5 linked regions of the Nothobranchius furzeri genome follow. The protein of the gene in region 5 interacts with the protein of the main gene of each other region in a pairwise test. Links are inferred from orthologs where the notes say so. Each region holds a gene or a part of one and is shown on either strand. Other genes may lie near its edges.

Evidence for each region.
Region 1: the proteins of mad1l1 (region 5) and rnf8 interact in binary tests that used the Homo sapiens proteins (3 or more experiments, as listed by UniProt). The two-hybrid records come from large-scale screens. The link is inferred for Nothobranchius furzeri from reciprocal best matches to the Homo sapiens genes MAD1L1 and RNF8.
Region 2: the proteins of mad1l1 (region 5) and ubiquitin carboxyl-terminal hydrolase 15 interact in binary tests that used the Homo sapiens proteins (3 or more experiments, as listed by UniProt). The two-hybrid records come from large-scale screens. The link is inferred for Nothobranchius furzeri from reciprocal best matches to the Homo sapiens genes MAD1L1 and USP15.
Region 3: the proteins of mad1l1 (region 5) and bag5 interact in binary tests that used the Homo sapiens proteins (3 or more experiments, as listed by UniProt). The two-hybrid records come from large-scale screens. The link is inferred for Nothobranchius furzeri from reciprocal best matches to the Homo sapiens genes MAD1L1 and BAG5.
Region 4: the proteins of mad1l1 (region 5) and mfap1 interact in binary tests that used the Homo sapiens proteins (3 or more experiments, as listed by UniProt). The two-hybrid records come from large-scale screens. The link is inferred for Nothobranchius furzeri from reciprocal best matches to the Homo sapiens genes MAD1L1 and MFAP1.

The regions. Positions count from the first base shown.
Region 1 is NC_091742.1:8,358,491-8,362,721, reverse strand, and holds the start of rnf8 (E3 ubiquitin-protein ligase rnf8), read right to left. Parts: upstream 2,813-4,231; 5' UTR 2,682-2,812; coding exon 2,559-2,681; intron 2,393-2,558; coding exon 2,264-2,392; intron 2,121-2,263; coding exon 1,678-2,120; intron 1,470-1,677; coding exon 1,262-1,469; intron 832-1,261; coding exon 769-831; intron 634-768; coding exon 544-633; intron 469-543; coding exon 361-468; intron 275-360; coding exon 70-274; coding exon of another isoform or gene 63-69; intron 1-62. Other genes in the region: aida (axin interactor, dorsalization-associated protein), read left to right, coding at 3,392-3,498, 4,121-4,187. UniProt on the Homo sapiens protein: E3 ubiquitin-protein ligase that plays a key role in DNA damage signaling via 2 distinct roles: by mediating the 'Lys-63'-linked ubiquitination of histones H2A and H2AX and promoting the recruitment of DNA repair proteins at double-strand breaks (DSBs) sites, and by catalyzing 'Lys-48'-linked ubiquitination to remove target proteins from DNA damage sites.
Region 2 is NC_091741.1:53,834,448-53,838,435, reverse strand, and holds the start of ubiquitin carboxyl-terminal hydrolase 15, read right to left. Parts: upstream 2,802-3,988; 5' UTR 2,757-2,801; coding exon 2,668-2,756; intron 2,110-2,667; coding exon 1,982-2,109; intron 1,541-1,981; coding exon 1,410-1,540; intron 1,023-1,409; exon of another isoform or gene 916-1,022; coding exon of another isoform or gene 883-915; intron 1-882. UniProt on the Homo sapiens protein: Hydrolase that removes conjugated ubiquitin from target proteins and regulates various pathways such as the TGF-beta receptor signaling, NF-kappa-B and RNF41/NRDP1-PRKN pathways.
Region 3 is NC_091758.1:10,662,484-10,665,995, reverse strand, and holds part of bag5 (BAG family molecular chaperone regulator 5), read right to left. Parts: intron 3,429-3,512; exon of another isoform or gene 3,288-3,428; coding exon of another isoform or gene 3,265-3,287; intron 3,053-3,264; exon of another isoform or gene 2,890-3,052; coding exon of another isoform or gene 2,858-2,889; intron 385-2,857; coding exon 1-384. UniProt on the Homo sapiens protein: Co-chaperone for HSP/HSP70 proteins. It functions as a nucleotide-exchange factor promoting the release of ADP from HSP70, thereby activating HSP70-mediated protein refolding.
Region 4 is NC_091749.1:30,004,163-30,008,277, reverse strand, and holds the start of mfap1 (microfibrillar-associated protein 1), read right to left. Parts: upstream 2,802-4,115; 5' UTR 2,687-2,801; coding exon 2,605-2,686; intron 1,984-2,604; coding exon 1,767-1,983; intron 1,688-1,766; coding exon 1,537-1,687; intron 1,445-1,536; coding exon 1,257-1,444; intron 1,177-1,256; coding exon 907-1,176; intron 818-906; coding exon 658-817; intron 361-657; coding exon 271-360; intron 1-270. Other genes in the region: hddc3 (guanosine-3',5'-bis(diphosphate) 3'-pyrophosphohydrolase MESH1), read right to left, coding at 3,541-3,695. UniProt on the Homo sapiens protein: Involved in pre-mRNA splicing as a component of the spliceosome.
Region 5 is NC_091744.1:8,623,627-8,627,138, forward strand, and holds part of mad1l1 (mitotic spindle assembly checkpoint protein MAD1), read right to left. Parts: intron 760-3,512; coding exon 619-759; intron 451-618; coding exon 394-450; intron 1-393. UniProt on the Homo sapiens protein: Component of the spindle-assembly checkpoint that prevents the onset of anaphase until all chromosomes are properly aligned at the metaphase plate.

The sequences.
Region 1 (4,231 bases), on a different chromosome or scaffold from region 5:
GAGTGAAGATCAAAGATGGATGATTCATTTCTATGAGTTTGGCGTGGATGATGAGAACACACCTCTCACCTTTCCTTTCAGTGATGAGCGTCTGCCGCCGGGCCTTCATGTCCAGGCTCAGGTTCTCCACCATACGGTTGATGCAGTTGTCCAGGGCCAGACACCGGGTCTGGGACTCGATAGCCTGTCTACAGATGGGACACTCGTTTTTCTTCTTGCGCCACAACTTGATGCAGTAACAGCAGAAGCTGTGAGCACAGTTCAGGATGACCGCCTGTACAGGGACATTTTTTTTTAATTTCAGCAGGTGAAGTCGGGTTTTTGTGAGTAAGATGATCCCAAACAGGTTCCTGGCTCTACCTCGATGAAGAGCTCTGAGCAGATGATGCACTGGAGCTCGTTCTCCAGAACCTCTGTGACTTGTGTTACTACCTCCTCCTTTTGGGCTTTCGCCTTTTCTTTTTCCTCCTGGAGGAAAAAAAATATGAATCAAAGTGACAACCAAGGTAAAAATGTGTGTTTTAAAAAGTGTCTTTCAGGCACCTTTGTTTCTTCTAGTTCTTTGTTTTTCGCAGAGAGGATTTCTTCAAATGTTTTTCGAGAGTCGGCAAGCTCGTCGATCACTTTCTTTTGCTGTTTGTTGAAAAAACAGGCACAAAAAAACTTTTTATTACATTTAATCAAAAACTTAAAGAAATAAACTAAAAAACTGTTAGTTTAAATTAAATGTGTTAACAGCTTTTAATTAGTTTAATTGAACCTTCTTACTTCCTGAAGAGCCTCTTCAAGTTGTTTTTTCATTAGCTCCTCTTGCTGCTGTGTTTTCTGCTCCTAAACGCATAAAAGACAGACGATTCACTTAAATTGAAACTTTATTTTTATGGACATATATATTTTTCTAATTGTAAATGCAGATGAACCTTTTGATTCACATATGTCAGAACAAGAAGGGTGAGGAACGTGTTACTTTCCATATGTGGCGCTTTTGTTTGAAACCCCAAAAAAGATGCTCAATATTAATATGCTCTGGAATATTAATATCGATATGGAATATGATGCAGAAATGTAGCTCTTTAACAGGTTTTGTTATGTTTAAGATCTTTTTTTTGCAACGTTACCAAGATTATTTAAAGTATGGCTGAATCATTTTGAAATGTGGAGAATTAAAAGTTAAACTAACGCTGTAAAATAAAGCAATTGCGGGTTGGGGGAATGAAAATGTAACGATGTTTCAAAAAGAAAAAAAAACAACACTCCTGACCTCCAACTGTCTCCTTGTTTTACTGAAGGTTCTCTCTAAAGTCTTCATTTGACACATTTTGGCTCTAAGGGTTTCCAGTTGACCCTGCAGCTCACGGACCTGCTCCCGTCGGAGAGGATCTGCCCGCCTGGGTTCTCCTCCAAGAGATGATACCTGCTTCTGGGTGTCATCCACCTGCTCCCGTAACAGCAGGAGATTCTGGCTGTACCTGCAGGTTATACATTAATATTTACAACTTTTACACAACAGAACATCAGAATGGACAACTCCTAAAGAGTATTATTTTCATTAAAAGTAGAGAGGAGTCTGTTTGAATATGTGACACATAATTCAGCAAATGTATTAAATAAAAGCTTGTAAAGGAGCAGTGTCTTTGGTTTGATTGAGAACCTTTTTTACGAGGAGTCACACTTTACCTCTGCAGGTTGTCCACTTCACAAGGATCACTGGATCCATCAGAGTGCTGCTCTTGTTTTTGTGTGCTGGATGCCGTCTCCTCCAGGTGTGTGTTACTGAGCCGCTGCTGGCATTTCACCGCAGACAGAGGACAGGGTTTTGCAAAAGATTTCCCTTCTGAATCGCAGCGGTACAGCTTAGGCTTTGATGTAGAAGGCTCGACTTCCTCCACAGTCAACTTCCTTTTGGATTTTTTGGAGACTTGCGGCTCTTTAGCCCAAGTTCTACATGCCTTTGCCAGGTACGGCTGAATGTTTCTGAGCAGTCGCCGGATGAGGATGTAATCAAATTCTACTTTGGTTCCTGATAAAGGAACTCCAAGTCGGATCGAGTCTCCAAGTTTGAGCAGGTAAGGTTCATCGGCAGAAATCCGATTTCCGTTCACCCAGACACCATTGAGACTCTGTGGAAGATAATTAATAATAATAATAATAATAATAACTTATTTACTAAGATTTAACTTGGTATTAGCTGCTGCTGTTAATAATAGCCCCATCATCTGTTAGAGATCAATTTTAGGAGAGTTAGCTCAAGAAATAAGGCTACCTTTTTGTCTACCACTGTCCAGTGACCGTCTTCTATCTGTCTGAAGGCACAGTGCAGTCTGGAGATCATGAGAGGACTACTTGAAGACAGCAGCTGGTAGGTGACATCCAAACCACGTCCAACAGTGATCTGAGCAGTCAAAAACAAACGTCAATTTACAGTTTTTCCATATAAACAGGGTCCACTACGCCGTTAGAAAAAACTTAATGAATAAAATGGCATGCCTATTGTATGTATACATAGCACAATCCTGAAAATGATTTTTTTTAGTTAAGCTAACATTAGCAAACTGTACCTCTGCCTTTTCGAACAAACGAAGCCAGTCTGATTTTTTTCCGACTCTCATCAGACACAAGACCTCCGAGTCCGAACATTCACCGTCCTCAGCCGAACATGAATCCGCCGTTGCACTATCCATGTTAAGCCATTCTGTCACAGGCCAAACACTCCGCTGTTGTTGTGTCTTATATGTATATGTCGATGTGTGTCTTCCGTCACATAACTGCTACATGCTAACGCGGTAGCGATCCGGGAGACACCGGAAAACGGTACAATTCATTTCGAAATAAAAGCGACGGGAAACTGCTAAAATAAATATCAATGTTTTATTTATTATTTCTTGTATAACGGCACGTATCACGTGTTGTAAATCTTTTGAACAAGGCAAAATAAATAAAAAAGTATGAATAGAATAGGTTTCTGGGATACGTTACTCTTTATTTATTGACATTTTTAAACATGAAAGTAACGTTAAAAAGTAAATGCTAGTATTTTGGATGATAAATATTTTAATATATTAAATATATTTTTGCTTTATGAAGTTTAAATTTTTTTTAAAGCAATGAATTTTTTTTATCGAAAATTCAAATTAGAGCACTTTGTTGTTGTGATTTGTTCTCAGTCAGGCAACCCAGCACCCTAAAACGAGTGCACCTAACCCCGGGGCGGGACTTCCTGTCTGCACCGGAAGTCCCAGTGTTGAACAGGCAGAAAGGGCTTGGTCCGTGTGTCACCGGTCTTATCCGCGTATGTCTGGACGGGAGATAACCAGGCTGCCGAAGCTGCGTAAATAAATCTCCACCTCGGCTATGCTGCCCTGAGAGCGCCGCGAGTATCCGCCCCGCCAAAATGTCTGATGTCAACAAGACTATTCAGAAATGGCACGCCAGTTTCAAGAAAGGCACAGACTTTGACTCGTGGGGACAATTGGTAGAGGCTATAGACGAGTACCAAATGTGAGTTACATTCAACATGTGTGTCTTATTTTTGTACGATTGAGTGTAAACATCTGGAACAGCGAGGACGGCTTGTTTAGCTTTTTATTTTTTTGCTGTCTTAAAGCTTGTCAGCTCTTAAACCTGCAGAAGTTAGCCTCGGAGCTGTCAGTCAGCCCCCACAGCAGTAAATAAACCCTTCCCATCCATGACGTGATGTGGCATTGTTGCAGAGGCAGCGGAGTCCCATCCCATCTTCATTCACAGAGGGGAGAAGAACAAAAAGAAACACCCAAAGCTGAATGTCTTGTTTCTGAGCGTTAGGAGAAGAGAATAACCAATATTCCTTAGAGTGTTGGGAAACAGTCAGCCACACCCTCTCATTGTTATGGGTGGGTTTCGTGTGTTCAGTGAGGAAAGCTCTCTTGTTCTCTGAGGAGATCAGACTCCGCAAGTTATTTCAGGATGTGATCATGTTTATGTAATAATTCATTTTAATGACACGTTTTAGATTTCTTTAGTGCAGATAGATGACTTGACAGTGTCCCACGTTGACCAAAAGGGGGCGCAGAACAGCCCACTGATGTGACAAATCGTCTTGGAATTGATTGATTAACCCATCTAACTGTTCTCGTTAATCCAGATTAGCAAGGCAGCTGCAGAAAGAGGTCCAAAATTCAAATTCATCAGATTTCACAGAAGAGCAGAAGGTAATAATTGCATCAGTCTGCAGGCTAAACTCGCCTGCTTTGCT
Region 2 (3,988 bases), on a different chromosome or scaffold from region 5:
GCATTCTGGTGTTACAGTGGAGCAGAGCATTTGTGCCAAAACAAATGATTATCAAACAACAATTATCACCAAAAGATTAAATCTAGTGTCATAATGATCAATCCAAACCATTATAGGCTGCAGGTTCCTGCTTGTTATACTGAACTAAATAAAGTAAATGCAGAAAAATAAAACAACACATTTAAATAGTCTTTTTTTATCTAGATTTGTGCAACAAACAGAAGTCCAATCTGCTGCCCTGGCTGCTACTTATCAAGTCCTCTGACAAAATCGGAGTTAGAGTGAAGATCTAATTATAGCAGCACCTTGTGGAAACAGCTGAGGGGGTCTGAACCTATTTATTTCACCACTGAGCCTCTCCAACACACACGCATGTATATATATATACACACACACACAGTACTACTTTCACAAACGACACTGAGAACTGCACCGGTCATGCATCACCTCCAGCCCTGCCCCGAACCAAGCCTGGATGTTCTGTTGGGCCGACAGAGCTGCTCAGAAAAAGTCAGTGCCATTTTAAATCGAGAGGACGTAAGTACAACCCAAGGGCCAAACTCTAACAGAATTCCTCAAATTAGAGCTCAGTTAAAAACTATTTACCCCACCCACCCCATTCCTCCTCCCATACTGGTCACACTCCTCTCTCAATCCTTCGCGCTGCTACTCTCAGAGTGACCTCAGCAGGAATTCCTCCACTCCAAAAAACAAGGGCTCAAGAACGCTCCACCGGTGTTAACAGCAACACCAGCTGAGGACTGTGGAAGACGAACCCGCTGACAGCAGTCCTCCTGAATCCCACTCAAACTTATGCACTCTCCCACAGCACAGGATGGCAAAATAAGTTCAAAAAGAGAGAAAAACAGATTATTTATAAACCTCCTGCATGTTGTGTCTTGTAGACCGCTCCATGTAGCTTTACAGTCACCCAGAACGTTGCCTGAAAATAGAAACCCTGTAGCCACCCGATACGTGCCATGACATACATGGGAAAAGAGGGAGGGTCAACGGAAACGAAGAGAGGAATACAGTGGTGCCGGGGGGGGGGGGGGGGGACGACCTCCTCCAGCAGCCATGATGGCATGATTAGCAAAATCTGAAGTGGAGAAATTAATACTTAAGTTGCAATCCTAATGTATTCCAAAAAACTAATTATATTTTATACTGATCTTTCATCTAAATGTTGTATAATCTTTGTTAATCCTGGTTGAAATATTTTGTTTTTACGCTGAAATGTAAGAATCATCCTGTAAACAAACTGATTCTGTAGACAGAAAACATTTCAATGGACTCCACCACAAAGCAGCAGCCATTAGTAAGACTCTTACAGTCCATTAAAGAAAAGCTGCCTTATCTCTCCATCACTAACACTCAATAAATGCCCTTCCAGGGTTCTGAACCTTTACCTTGCGTGCGATTGGTTCCTGACCTTCTGACAGTCCATACCAGCTGACAAGTTTATTCCAGCCTTCGGCAGGGACCAGGATGTAGTCGAGCTCATCGATGAGGTGGTCCTTGATGGCCAGCACATCCCCATCTAGAAAGAGAGGGAACAAGGGATGAAAGGAGAGGACGAGAAACACAATCAGAACAAAGAACGCATCACTGACTGTGTGCTTTCTCACACAAAAAAACAAAAGGTAGGCTGGGGAGCTTCTATGAAGTCAGTAGACAATTCTAGCTTTGTCTCCATTTTGCTGAAATTGTCGGTAATTTCAGAATGAAGACACTCAGCAGAGACACAATTATTAAAATATTAGATTATTAATACTGAACTTTACAATCTTCTGTTTTGCTGTATTTATTTGCTAGAAAAACCTACCTAAACTGACTTTGACAGATATTCTCTGAAACAACTAAATATTAAAACATGCACGATGGTAATCAACCACAGCTGAAGAAAGAGGAACAAACAACAGGTAAACAGAAATATTAATGTAGGACCTAGTTTAGTAGTTTGAGTTTTCACCGGTCTTACCTTTGAGTAGGCCAGAGTTATCCACCGGTCCGGGGTAAACATTCTGGTCCCCCATCTGGTATTTATCCCAGCTGTCAAATCCCACATATTTCTTCCACTGTTTGAACCAGCGACTGTCCACTAAATACCTAGAGGAGACCACCACGGTTTACTCAATAACAACAGTGTTTTAAAAGACTCTGAGAGGCAAACACTACACCCAACAGCTGATTTATTGACGGTAGGTGGAGTTCAGATTGCTGCAATCCCAGCCAGCTGGCTCTGAGATTTTGACAGGTGTTTTTTTTTTTACCGACTCCGCCCAACTAAAGTCGACAGACGAACCCCCTGACTGGAAAATCACTTGGAGCGACACATGCTAACCAAGTAGCTAAATTAGCCTGCTACTTACCCAACAGGCTCTTTAGTATTGTTAAGGTCATGAAATCAGATAAAAACAACATTATTCGTTTAGAACGGATTACAATTGCGCGTAGAGTTCAGAATTTAAACGTTAAGAGTCAGTTCTTCATTTAAACTGACCAGAGCCAGCGGTTAGCTGGAACGCTCTCGTTAGCAACCCAAACGCCTCACTGTCAACACGGCCCGTCACCTCGGCTTTTCTAACATTTGTGGCTTTGTCACTCGCAGCAGAGCCAGGCGGCGGCCACGCAGTCCCTCAAGAGAGATCTCGGTTCATGCCTTACCAGGTGTCCCCTTTCCTAAGCTGTGTTTTCAATAGTGTCGTGATCTCTCCTCTCTGAGTATCCAGATCAGCCGCTCCTCCTTCGGCCATCTTTACTCGAACGTTGCATGGTGGGAAAAGCGTGCGGCGTCATCGACGCACGTTGAGCGTAATTGATCTACTGACACCAATCAGGAGCCAAGCAGCGGTGCAGAGGAAGGTGTGGCAAGCTCTTTTCACATTTAAGATAGGCTAAAGGTGCTTTGTCATTCAATTCCATTAGGTCAAAATAAACATATTAGAGAGCAATAAATACCTGCGACCTGGAAAAAAATTCAGATAGCTCCAACAATCGTTACAGGACAAATAGAATAGAATAGAATAGAATAGAATAGAATAGAATAGAATAGAATGACACTTAACTGTCCACCGTGGTGGAAATTTTTCTTTAGCTCTCAAGAACTGAAAAAAAAGCCAAATTCATGTATGCAAGTTGGGTTTTTACTCTAATTAGCTGGATTAAAATTGTCAGATGTCTTAAACAGAACTCCTCTCATATTAAGAAAATTATTATTTCCGATATCTATCATTTAATCCCTCATTTTAGACATCTACAACAATACCAGACATCCCTAAAATACTTGAGAAAAATGTTTGTATTAAGAATGTAAGTGAGTATAGCTTTCATTTAAATTTTGACAAGTAAAAGTGACATTTTACGTCTGGGATGTCTCCATCTGCCTCTGCAGGAGCTGTCCATGGTCTCCACAGTGGGAGGTTTTTTTTTAAATGGAGGTCATCTTCCCCATCCTCCTATCACACATCTCCTATACTGAATCCAGTGGGCAGCCCAGAACCGAGCTATCTAATAGTGTTCAAGAAGATGCTAATACATGGACCATTGCTATGGGATTAGATTTGTGCCAGTAGGATCAAGAAAAAACACTTTGGAGATCAAACAAATTTTAAGACATTGAGAGAGAAAAAATGAATGGATTAATGATGTAACTCTGACTGAATGATTATCTAAGTGAGTATGTTTGAAAATAAATTTCTTACCAGTATACAGATCTGACATTTGTTTGTCAGAACAGGACAAATCAGATTCACTCTGCTTTCTGTCACCCTAAATCAGATCCATATCTGATGTTTTTATTACTCAAGTTTGCATGAACTAGGGCTGCAGCTATCGAATATTTTCGTAATCGAGTACTCTATTGAATCTTTTATCAATTAATCGAGTACTCTAATAAATGACCCTTTTGTGTTTGTAAACCATTATATAAATTAGCATGTTATAAAATATGAAAGACCTCTTCAAATGAGCACGCAATTGCCAGTTA
Region 3 (3,512 bases), on a different chromosome or scaffold from region 5:
TGCCGAGCCGCCACGCTCAGCTCCTCCATGGCCAGACGGGATGGGTGGGTGGCGTTCTCCTCTAAGTAGCGCAGGAGACCTTCCACCTCCTGAGCAGCCCTCTTACGGGCCCCTTGCAGCTCCACCTTGCCCTCCGTGTCCACCTGGTCCACCTCCAGCAGCAGCCGGGTTAGCTCGCGCTCCATCCGCTTGTATTCCCGGTCGTCCTGCAGGCCACTGAAGGTGCAGACGTGCGGCCCCAGAGACAACACCTCCTTCTGGACCTCATAGAGCCGCATCATGGCAGGGTGGTGCTGCTGCTGCTCCACTGGATGTTGATGGTGCGGCTCCTGTGGGCCACCATGCTCCATCCTCTTCCCTCCATCAAAAGGCTTCCCAAAGAGGCTGGAGAAGAGCAAAACAAAAGACAACCAGAACAGTTAGTCAAATCTGATAGATTTATGTGTTTTAGTGGTGAAAGTCGTCGTCGTCTTCCTCCGCTTATCCGGGTCCGGGTCGCGGGGGCAGCATCCCAACTAGGGAGCTCCAGACCGTCCTCTCCCCGGCCACCTCCCCCAGCTCCTCCGGCAGGACCCCAAGGCGTTCCCGGACCAGATTGGAGATGTAACCTCTCCAACGTGTCCTGGGTCGACCCGGGGGCCTCCTGCCGGCAGGACATGCCCGAAACACCTCCCAAGGGAGGCGTCCAGGAGGCATCCTGACCAGATGCCCAAACCACCTCAACTGGCTCCTTTCGATCCGGAGGAGCAGCGGTTCTACTCCGAGTCCCTCCTGAATGTCCGAGCTCCTCACCCTATCTCTAAGGCTGAGCCCGGCCACCCTACGGAGGAAACTCATTTCGGCCGCTTGTATCCGCGATCTCGTTCTTTCGGTCATTACCCAAAGCTCATGACCATAGGTGAGGACTGGGACGTAGATCGACCGGTAAATCGAGAGCCTGGCTTTCTGGCTCAGCTCCCTCTTCACCACGACAGATCGGCTCAGCGTCCGCATCACTGCAGACGCCGAACCAATCCGCCTGTCGATCTCCCGATCCCTCCTACCCTCACTCGTGAACAAGACCCCGAGATACTTAAACTCCTCCACTTGAGGTAGGACCTCTCCCCCGACCCGGAGTTGGCAAGTCACCCTTTTCCGGTCGAGAACCATGGTGTCAGATTTGGAGGTGCTGATCCTCATCCCAGCCGCTTCACATTCGGCCGCGAACCTACCCAGCAAGAGCTGAAGGTCAGAGCTGGATGAAGCTAGGAGGACCACATCATCCGCAAAAAGCAGAGACGAGATTCTCCTGCCACCAAACTTGACAACTCCACACCACGGCTGCACCTAGAAATTCTGTCCATAAAGGTCATGAACAGAACCGGTGACAAAAGGCAGCCCTGGCGGAGTCCAACCCTCACCGGGAACAGGTCCGACTTAGTGGTGAAAGTTTCCTGGTAAATAGAACCACAAACTCTCTCTGACGGTTACTAAAAGCAGATTTGTGAGCTCTGTTCCTAAAACGAGACCAGCAAACCTGACAGGACGCTGACCTACATCTGACCTACATCCTGGTGCTGATGATGTGACCCACTGGCTGAAACGGGTCTGTGAAGAGCTGAGGAAAAGATTCACGTCTCGTCATCTAAAATCTGACTGTGTTAAATGTAACTGTAACTCTTCTGGTGCACGCAGGACATTCTCAGCTGTGCTTGGACTAGCCGTTAGCTCATCAGTCACGTAGGATGTCAGATTTGACATCACTGGAACTTCTACACAGAAACAAGTCAGACTATTTGTTTAATTTAATGTTATTTCATATGAAACGCCTGAGAGCTGGGCTTTGTTGTTTTCACCCTCACCTCTGTCTGCCAGGCTCAGCAGCTGCAGCCTGATGGTAGGACAGGAGCTGCTGGACATTTTCATGTTAAACATCTCAATTCAAAACACAAATGATGACTGTGGTCTCTTTAAAACTCCTTTTAATTTTAAAATCGATGTGCTCGACTGAGGAAAGACTAAATCAAACCATGTTTAACTGACCCTGCACAACCACTCTTAATGTATCTTACCTAATCTCACTGATGTCCTCTGAAGGCTAGATTTAAGCATCTTTGATGGTTAAAGTTAGTAGGAGGCAGAACGGGGGCAAAACACACTGGCAGTGAGCTTTAACCCTAACCCATGACCCCCACAAGGGTGGCATTGCTGATATTTTTTTCACAGGCATCAACGTAGCTAAAAGACAGATTTTATGTGCACCAGCCCATGTTTGGACACCTGGGCTCCCATAGCGGCACTTCTATGCTTTTATAGCAGCACCCGTTTGTCTACTTTTTCTTCATGTTGCTTTTTGATCATGTTTGCGTTCATTTTACTCATTCTAAATGAGACATGTCATGCTAAACCAGTACGTCCATTTCTGTCAGGTTCTGGGTTTCAGGAATTACAAATGTTAAAAACATGCAGCCTCAGGTGCAACACGGTTTCAGATCATGGATCTGAGGCCACAGGCTGTAGCTGTACAGCATCAGCAGTGCTCATCAGGACAAATGATGGATTCATTCCCAAGAGCACTTTTATTTAAGAGGACAGGGGATGGGCAGGTCAGGCTGGAGCTCCAGTCCTTATCAAAATCATCTCAGCAACATCCTTCATCGTTTTAGCCAATGATGCTGACTAGCCAAGAATCTGCCCAGCGGCAGAGCTCAGTCCTCCCTCCTGTAGGTCCCACAGCAAACCTACCACCATCAGCACCAGGCTGCCACCGCACCGGGCACGCTGCACGGCTCTGACCATCGAAAACCGGCTGATCGGGACGCACACACCACACCTCCACATCTGTCAGCATCCACTCTCAGCAGCGCCAGCCTCTCACCTTTTTAACACTCCGAACACGTTGGCGCACATTTCGCCAGAGGTCTTTTTCCATCAGCCAGAGCAGCGAAAGGAGCTGAAATCACGGTGTGTTTTTGGGTGGAGGTGCTGGTGACGATCCTCCGCGCTGAGCTGGGGGGCTACTGTCGCCCCTCCCACCACCACAACCACGCTCTGCCTTCAGGTCGCTGTCGGCCTCTTGGGTCTAATAAAGGCAGAAGCCAGGCTTACGCGGGCTTTGACTGGAGCTTTTGGATCCAGGACAGCAACAAACAAGGCCAGCCACCGCCCCCCCTCCTGATGCTTGGGTGTCAGTCAGGATGATCACCTGACTCTGCCCCACCTTGGCCTAAAACACTCCTGATTTTGGTCTTACAATGAGATCTCCCCCTAACCGTTGACACTTACCTGCACAGCCACCGTACAGCCATGTGAAGTGTTGCTGAAAAGGACGAACTTCCTCGGATTAAAGCTCAACATTAACGCACCTAACTACCTTCCACGACCCTGCTCCCGCATAATAACTAACACGGAGTTCGTGTTCTCTCAACACGCCTTCGTTAGCAGCATTTACCTCCGTTTTGTCGTGTTACAGAATGATACACTAAAAAAACTTTTTGGAATAAAATTAAATTCAACTGAATGTCAATTAATTA
Region 4 (4,115 bases), on a different chromosome or scaffold from region 5:
CATGACATATCGGCATCAATATCTATGTTTTACATATCGGTATCGGTCTGATAAGGACAACTGGACCGATATTAACTGAATATATATAAAAAGAAAGACGTCCAAAATTTCTGCTTACATAACTTTAAGTCTCCATAAAATCTGCTGACTTCAGAAGCATAAATGTCAGCCTGTATATGTCGCATCGACAAATATCGATTATCAGCCATAACAATATCGACATCAGCCCAAAGTTTCATTTCGTTGCACCCCAAGACGAAAGGGTCTCACCTGCATGACTTTGGGTAGGATGGTTTTGTTGAAGTGATCCTCCAGTGTAGGAGCGCTGAAGTCTCTCTTGTAAACATCCTCCTCCTCATCCTAACACACAAAAACCACACAATAAATCCCTACACGTATAACCTGTTGGTGACCCATCACAAACGATCACCTCCTTCAGAATCTGGTGGGATTTCCTGTCATTTACAGACATCTAAATAATAAAGGTGTTATAAGAAAGGGTACGCCGTTTTTATCACACAATAATTGTCAAAGAAAAGACACTGCAGCTGTAAATGAAGATTTTAGGAAAATCTCTTGGTTGTCTTAAAAATTTGCTTTTTTATGAATCCTGGTGACAATCCCGTGAAAAGGACTCTTGTGTCTGCTGGGACTCACCATGAAGAAGGCTCCTCTGTGGTAGTATTTCTGCAAGAACTTGTATTTGCCTTTGGAGGCTTTGTTGGTGACGACTTTGCCGCTGTTGCGTAGCTCCGCCCTGCGTTCCTCTTCCGTCATATTGTGGAATCTGTCAATTTCACCCTTCTCTCTCTCCATTCTGACAACAAAACACCACAAATGACCGTCCTGAAGAGAACTGCATCACTCTTTCACCATAAATCCTTTGGAATCCTGCAGTTTACTTACGCTTCCCGGGCCTCTCGGTCTCTCTTGATGCGTTTCAGCTCTCGGACCTTCCAGGCTTCATATTCCTCCTCTTCATTCTCCCCGTCAGTGTCCAGAGCTTCCAGTGCAGCCAGCGAGCGCCGGTTCTCTTCAAACTCCTTCTTAGCCTCCTCCTCAACAATCTTGAGGGTGTAGCGCCGCCGATCCTCTGCCTGCCTCTTGGCCTCGGCCTCCAGCTCTCGCTGCTTCAGCTCCTCGGCTTCGCGCTCTGCCACAGTGACTCTGTCCTTTCTGCAGTGCAAAAAAAAAACATTTGAGCTAGTGTTCTGAATCTGGAATTTTTATTGAAACATTTTTAGTTTAGTTCTCACTTGCGAATAAAAACAGGCTTAAGTCTCGGCTCTGCTTCATCCTCACTGTCTGTGTACTCCTCATATTCTGACTCCGACTCAGACTCCTCTCCTGACTTCCCCTCCTCCTCCACCTCCATCACTTCCATCTCTTCATTTTTCCTCTCCATTGCACGCTGGCGCATCATTGCTCGCCTCCTCTCAATTTCCTGGTCACAAGCACGATGAGCAAATTAATAATTTGTTCAAAATGCAACAAAAAAGTTAAAAGGATTTTATTTTTTTGGTGCACAATTGCTACCTCATCATCCACTTCTTCCTCCTCTTCCTCCTCCTCCTCCTCTTCATCGTCGCTGCTCTCCTGATGCTCAGGGTGCCATGTGCCTTCATCAGAGTCCTCACTGCTCTCAGCAACAACTTCAGGCTCTACGATCTGTCTGTGTCTTGCGAGCCTGAGCACAAACAAACGGGAAACATTTTGACTCAAAATGTTGACAGAATTTGAGTTTAATCAGAAAAACTGAGTGATACCTCTCCTCCACGTCCTCAGAAGTTCGATTGAGCAAACGTTTGAGACGTGGGTCATTCACATCTTCTTCCTGCTGCTCTACCTCCAGCTCCATTTCCACTCCCTTTTTAGCAAACTTGAATTCCTCCTCCTCTTCATCTGACGACTCCATGGGGGCATAGTCTGGACGTTTACCTGACACATACCTCTTCACCTTCACCTTCTCCATGGAGATCTCACCTACATTGTGTACAGAAAAGGGCATGATTATATACACTTCCTCAAGCTTAGTACAAGAGTATTTAAACAGGAAAAAACACTCAACCATAAAAAACGTAAAACAATATGTTGCAGATTTATTTAAATTAAATCAGACAGATACAGCATACCCCTCGCCCTTGGGAGTAATAAAATGACCCCAAAACTCAGACGTAAGCTTAAAACAACGAGTTAATGTCTCAGACAAGCTCTTATTAGGTAGACAGATAAATGACGTTACAAAAGCCCATGAATACTTTTAAGGGACTTAACAGATGACTTATCTAACACGTAAAAAAGTTGAAAAGCTATTTAAAATATATTTTTTCCAGTTGTTTATAAACATTTGTGTTGGATCATCAAAGATCTTGAATCTTGTTTAAAAAAATGTAAACTGTCAGTTGTTCCTCCATTTCTAGATTTTAAACTGTTACTCCCACCACACACACACATTTTACTCTCTTAAAAAACCAACATCACAAAATTGCTTTTCAGCTTGTTTTGCTGAGTAATGAATTAGTTATTTAGAAACTTAACTCGCGTTTTTTGACGCTACATAACAGATGCTACATTAGCATGGAAGCTAACCCTAACACGATTCACCTTTCTCATTCCGGATGGGCACGGCTCCTGCCGTGGACTGGATCGGTGGGAGCTTCATGTTGACGCTTTCGTGACTAGACATGACTGCCCGGTCAACAACACAAAACTATGGACGTGAAATAAAAGGATGTTGCGCTTAGTCTCAACAATCTCTTGGCTGCTTCGTTTCAAAACCGGAAGTTGAACAACTTCCGCGAACGGACAGGAAGTGCATTTGTTCCGAAGAGAAAAACCAAAAACTCAAGAATCAAATGAACAGGAAAGCGTCTCACATTAAATTGTTTTTACAAAACTGACATTTATGCATTTTTATAAACGTGTTTTCTAAATGACCATCAAGCTAATTAAAATCGATTAAATTGTAAATTGTAAATCACCGCCCCTTGGTGGTTTTTATGTTTCATGCATGATAGGCCTTCAAGTCAAGCTTTTTTTCATTATGATCAGAAACCCGATTTCACCCTAACAAATATAACCAACATCAAACATTCCGTTTTTTTTTTACAAAAATGACAGGCAGCTTAACAAACTACATTTCTTCTGCTCCAGGCAAGTTCAATTTACTAGCACAATAAATAAGTGCACGCCCTGACCCTTAACAGAGTAATAGGATGGACTGAGGTTGGCTTGTAACTTTGGCATCATGGTTTATTTAAAAACAAAAGGCTAATCTGACTGACTTTCTAATAAGCAACTCTTCACTTATCTAAAAAAAAAACTTTGTGTCTGTGTGAAAATTATTTGAAAGGTTTGATGACAATGAACCAGACTTATAAAAGAAATGTCATATGTTTTTATTCTTTTAATTTTCTGTTCTGGTTTGCATGACTTTAAAAATTTGACAATAATACAAATGACAGTGCAGCAGACAGTACATTCACACTTCTTTCTTTTTTTTCTGAAGCTCACTCATAAAGGTGCATTTGAGTTGTCATTTTAACAGTATAGACGTGTGGCTTTGCCATCAGAGTTGAATGCCTCTCTGAACAAGTCCTCCAGCTTCCCCTCCAGGGCAGAGTTAGTTCCTTTCAGGCCTTTCACCACCTCAGAGGCCCAAACAAAGTACTCCTGGACCCGCTCAGTGTTCCAGCCTGCCAGGCAAACAAAAGGTAGACAACATGATAAACACCATTATTTAGGGAGGCAATAATTAGAGAAGCAGCTACAATAAACAAGTCAGTGTAGGTAGTGATCAGAGCAGATCAGTTTACGTGATAACACAACACAGGGTCAGGTGACTGAAACAAAGCAACTGCAGTGGGCAGGTCTACGATTGGCATTCATGAGTCTGACCGTGGAGGGGAAGAAACTGTTCTTGTGGCTAGCGATTCTGGTCTGAATGGATCAGAGCCTCCTGCTAGGTGGGAGCGAGTATAATGGGCCATTCCCATCTGTATCGGGTCAGCCTGGGCCGGGTAGCGTAGGTTGTTTACATATCTGGGTGGCCTGGTATTTTTCCGGGCCAACCAAGGCTCATTCTCAGCCCTCTTCTCGAGGGGGTCTACTTCAGG
Region 5 (3,512 bases):
GTGCTGTGGGCCAGCTCCGGTCCAGGTTTCAGCTCCTCTGCCCCACTGGAAGGGTTTCAAACACTGCCAACACCTGCTGCAGTCTGTGGCGGGGTGCTGCGGGCGTTCTCCCCACCCGCTGGGAGTGTTTGAAACACCACCATCCTCTGCTGGAGACCGTGGCACGCTGCTGCGCCCTGGTTGTTTATTCTGTTATTGTTACCGGTACTTGTCTTGCAATGTGAAATGCTTGGTCTCAGAGTTTGTAAAAAAAAATAAATAAATTTCCCCCCAAAATGCGACTTATATATGTTTTTTTTCTTCTTCATTATACATTTTATGGCTGGTGCAACTTATACTCCAGAAAATACGGTATAGGACCTATAATAACCTGCATACATTCCTCTTACTTACTGTTTGTAGCTGTAGCTTGAGCACCCCCATTTCCTCCTGTGTTTTAGTTAGCTGGGCCTGAATTTAAGCAAAAATTTAAAATATAACAGATACATCAGAGGAAAGCTTGAAAAAGACCAAATACAAGGGAAACAGAGGAAGAGGATTATTTAATAACCAGCTCACACATAGATAACTAGTGTGTGTTAAAGTCAACTAAAGCTTAGCCAATAAAACCATACACACCTCCATATCCATGTTGTGGTTCTGTGTCCTTTGCAGAACCTCCTCCGCCTCTTTGAGTCGATTTGCGAGTTGAGGAGAGTATTCAGAGGGAGCAAGCTCACTGTCATAGGACTCCAGTATGGCCCTCATCCCATTTCGCTCCTGTAAAACAAGTGAAATATGGCATAATTAAATCATAAAGCATTTTTAAAATCCTTTCTGAACAAACATCTGTGCGGGACAAATTGGAGAAAGTCCAATTTAAAGCTCAGCTCTCTCAACTGTCAATAAGCATGCTTCTTCTTTCGGCTCTTGTAGAGTACAGATGCTTTTTTCCTCCTCTCCTCCCTATCTTATCCCCAGGGCTCTTTGTCTGTCTTTGGGTGTACGACGCTTCTGCATTTTTTCTGGAAACTGGAAATTATTAAAAATAGACCTGGTCAGCTGGCCTCTCAACCCGATTGACAACATTTTCTCAACGATGATAACGGGAGAAGGGGCTCCCGAATGCCCCTCTGGGACAGATCCAGTTGGGCATATCATGGACTCCTGGAAACAGTGGAACCTGATCTGCTTATCTCAACTGTCTGTAGAGGATTCTGAAGACGTATGGATATTTGTGGTGTTGGTGTCAGGTTTCCTACTTTTTGGCCTGGGAGGCTACCTGGCTTACCGGAAAATTAACGAGCTGTAAAGGAATATTGGCTCTTTCCTGGAGCTCGGGGATGATTACACCACGCTGTGAATGCACAGACTCATAATTGTCGAAAGAGTCGTAGGCTTGGAACTTTGACTGAGATTCAGGCTCTGGCAAAAAAGATGGATGCAATTAAGGAGCGAGTGGACGAATCAGCACGGATTGGGATAGATTAACTTACGCCATTATTGGATTTTGAGATGTTGAGGACCAACGGAACTTTAAGACAGAGAAGAAATTATCACTGTCTGGCCCCAAAACAAATTCTTCTCTGAATCTGGTGCCCTTGAGCCTGTGAGGCTGAAACAAATACTCCCCCTCAGAAGTAGGGATGGGTACCGAATTCGGTACTTTTTAAGGTACCGACCGAATTCCAGAGTACCGACCGAGCACCGATTCACGTCATTTCAAACGGTGCCTCGTTTCGGTACCCGTCCATCATAACGAGAACTTGCCAAGACAGCTGCGCATGCGCAAGAGCGTTTTGTCGTCGCTTGCTGTGAACCAGTTGTAAACAGAGCAGCATGGTAGAGAGAACGCAGGCTAAAGCTTGGGTCCACTTCACTAAATGTGATGGGTAACTGGATGATGAAACCAGCGACAACGATCTAAGTGAGACATCCTCATCTTAATCTGCTCCGGTACGTAAATATAATTAGCTTGATATGTTAGCTTCCATTTCGCTAATGGTGCGTTCGCTTTCTCCTCGGAACTCAGAATTTCCGACTAGAACAACATGAACGCGCTCTAAATTTTGGCTTCACTTTACTAAATGTGACGGGTGAAGACGAAACCAGTGACGATCTAAGTGTGAGGCATCGTTTTAATCTGCTCCAGCAGCTAAATAAACTGTTTAAGATATCGTTAGCTTGATATGTTAGCTTCCATTGCTACCATTGTTATCAGCTAATGGTGCGTTCGCTTTCTCCTCGGAAATTCTAACTTCCCAGTAGGAAAAATCAAATGAAAAAAGATGGCAAAAGGAATGAAGATTCACAGTAAATTTAGTTCACAGTAAAGATGTTTGCTTCAGTTTAATTATCAGCTTATAAAACTACAAGGGCAATGTTAAAATACAAACAGTTGTATGTTATTTATCGTGATATTTATGAAATATTGTTATATATTGAGAAAAATATATATTTAATTATAAAAGAGAATTAAAATAATAAACACTCAAAAGTATCGAAAATTGGTACCGTTAAGTACCGGTATCGATTTGTAGGTACCGGTAATTAGTACCGGATCGATTCAAATGTCAAAGGTACCCATCCCTACTCAGAAGAAATGTGGAATGCTGCCGTCGCCATGGCAACTCTGTCTCCCTATCCCAGGCTGGGCGGGACTGCGAGCTGTGAAGGCTGCTGAATCGTTCCAGGAGTCACTGTGCCCTCTAAACCCAATGACCACCTCCCCCTGTCCAGATGGGGGTGATGGGCGCTGCTTATTGCGGCTGCATGCACTGACGTGTGGAGAGTCCCAAACCCTACCACCCCACCTAGTGGACACTCATGCTGTGTTATGTCTGATGTCTGTTGCATTTCTGTCTGAGGTGTTTTTTGCATATCAAAGCTGCCCTCCCTGTGGAGGGTAACTCTGAAGTGCCTTTTTTCCTCCATCTGACTCAATCCTCATGTAAACCCCTCTGATCTCTATTAAGGTAGCGCGACTTGGGTTGCGAATGACCACAGTCACCAATTCTTGTCATGTGTCTGTGTATATATGTCTGATCTCAGAATTGTGTGTACTGACACTAATTTCCCTGTGGGATTAATAAAGTATCTTTGAATTTGAATTGAATTGAACTGAATCCAAAAACTTCACCTGAACTCAACAGGAATGGGATTATTGGCAACGCAATCTGAACACTCAGTCAACACAACACCTTCTTTATGCTCAACTTATTTTGCAAACACAGCTATGCAGCAACATCTAGGAAAAGAGAGGAGCTGTAATAAACTCCTCTCATCAGAGACTGAGCAAACTGTGAGACTAGAAAAATACTTTCTACACCACTAGCCTACATGCGGGAGGTAATTACTGCAGCTCCGTCTCATGTGCCATGTCGGCATCCCATTTAATCCTTTAATAGATTCATTATGCGACAGTTGGCTTTGCAGGGTTCAGAAAAATGCACGCTTTTCTCTTATTTAAGCAATTTTTCTGATTTAAAGTGTTTCATTTAATTCATCAAAACCGAATGGCACGTGCAAGTTTC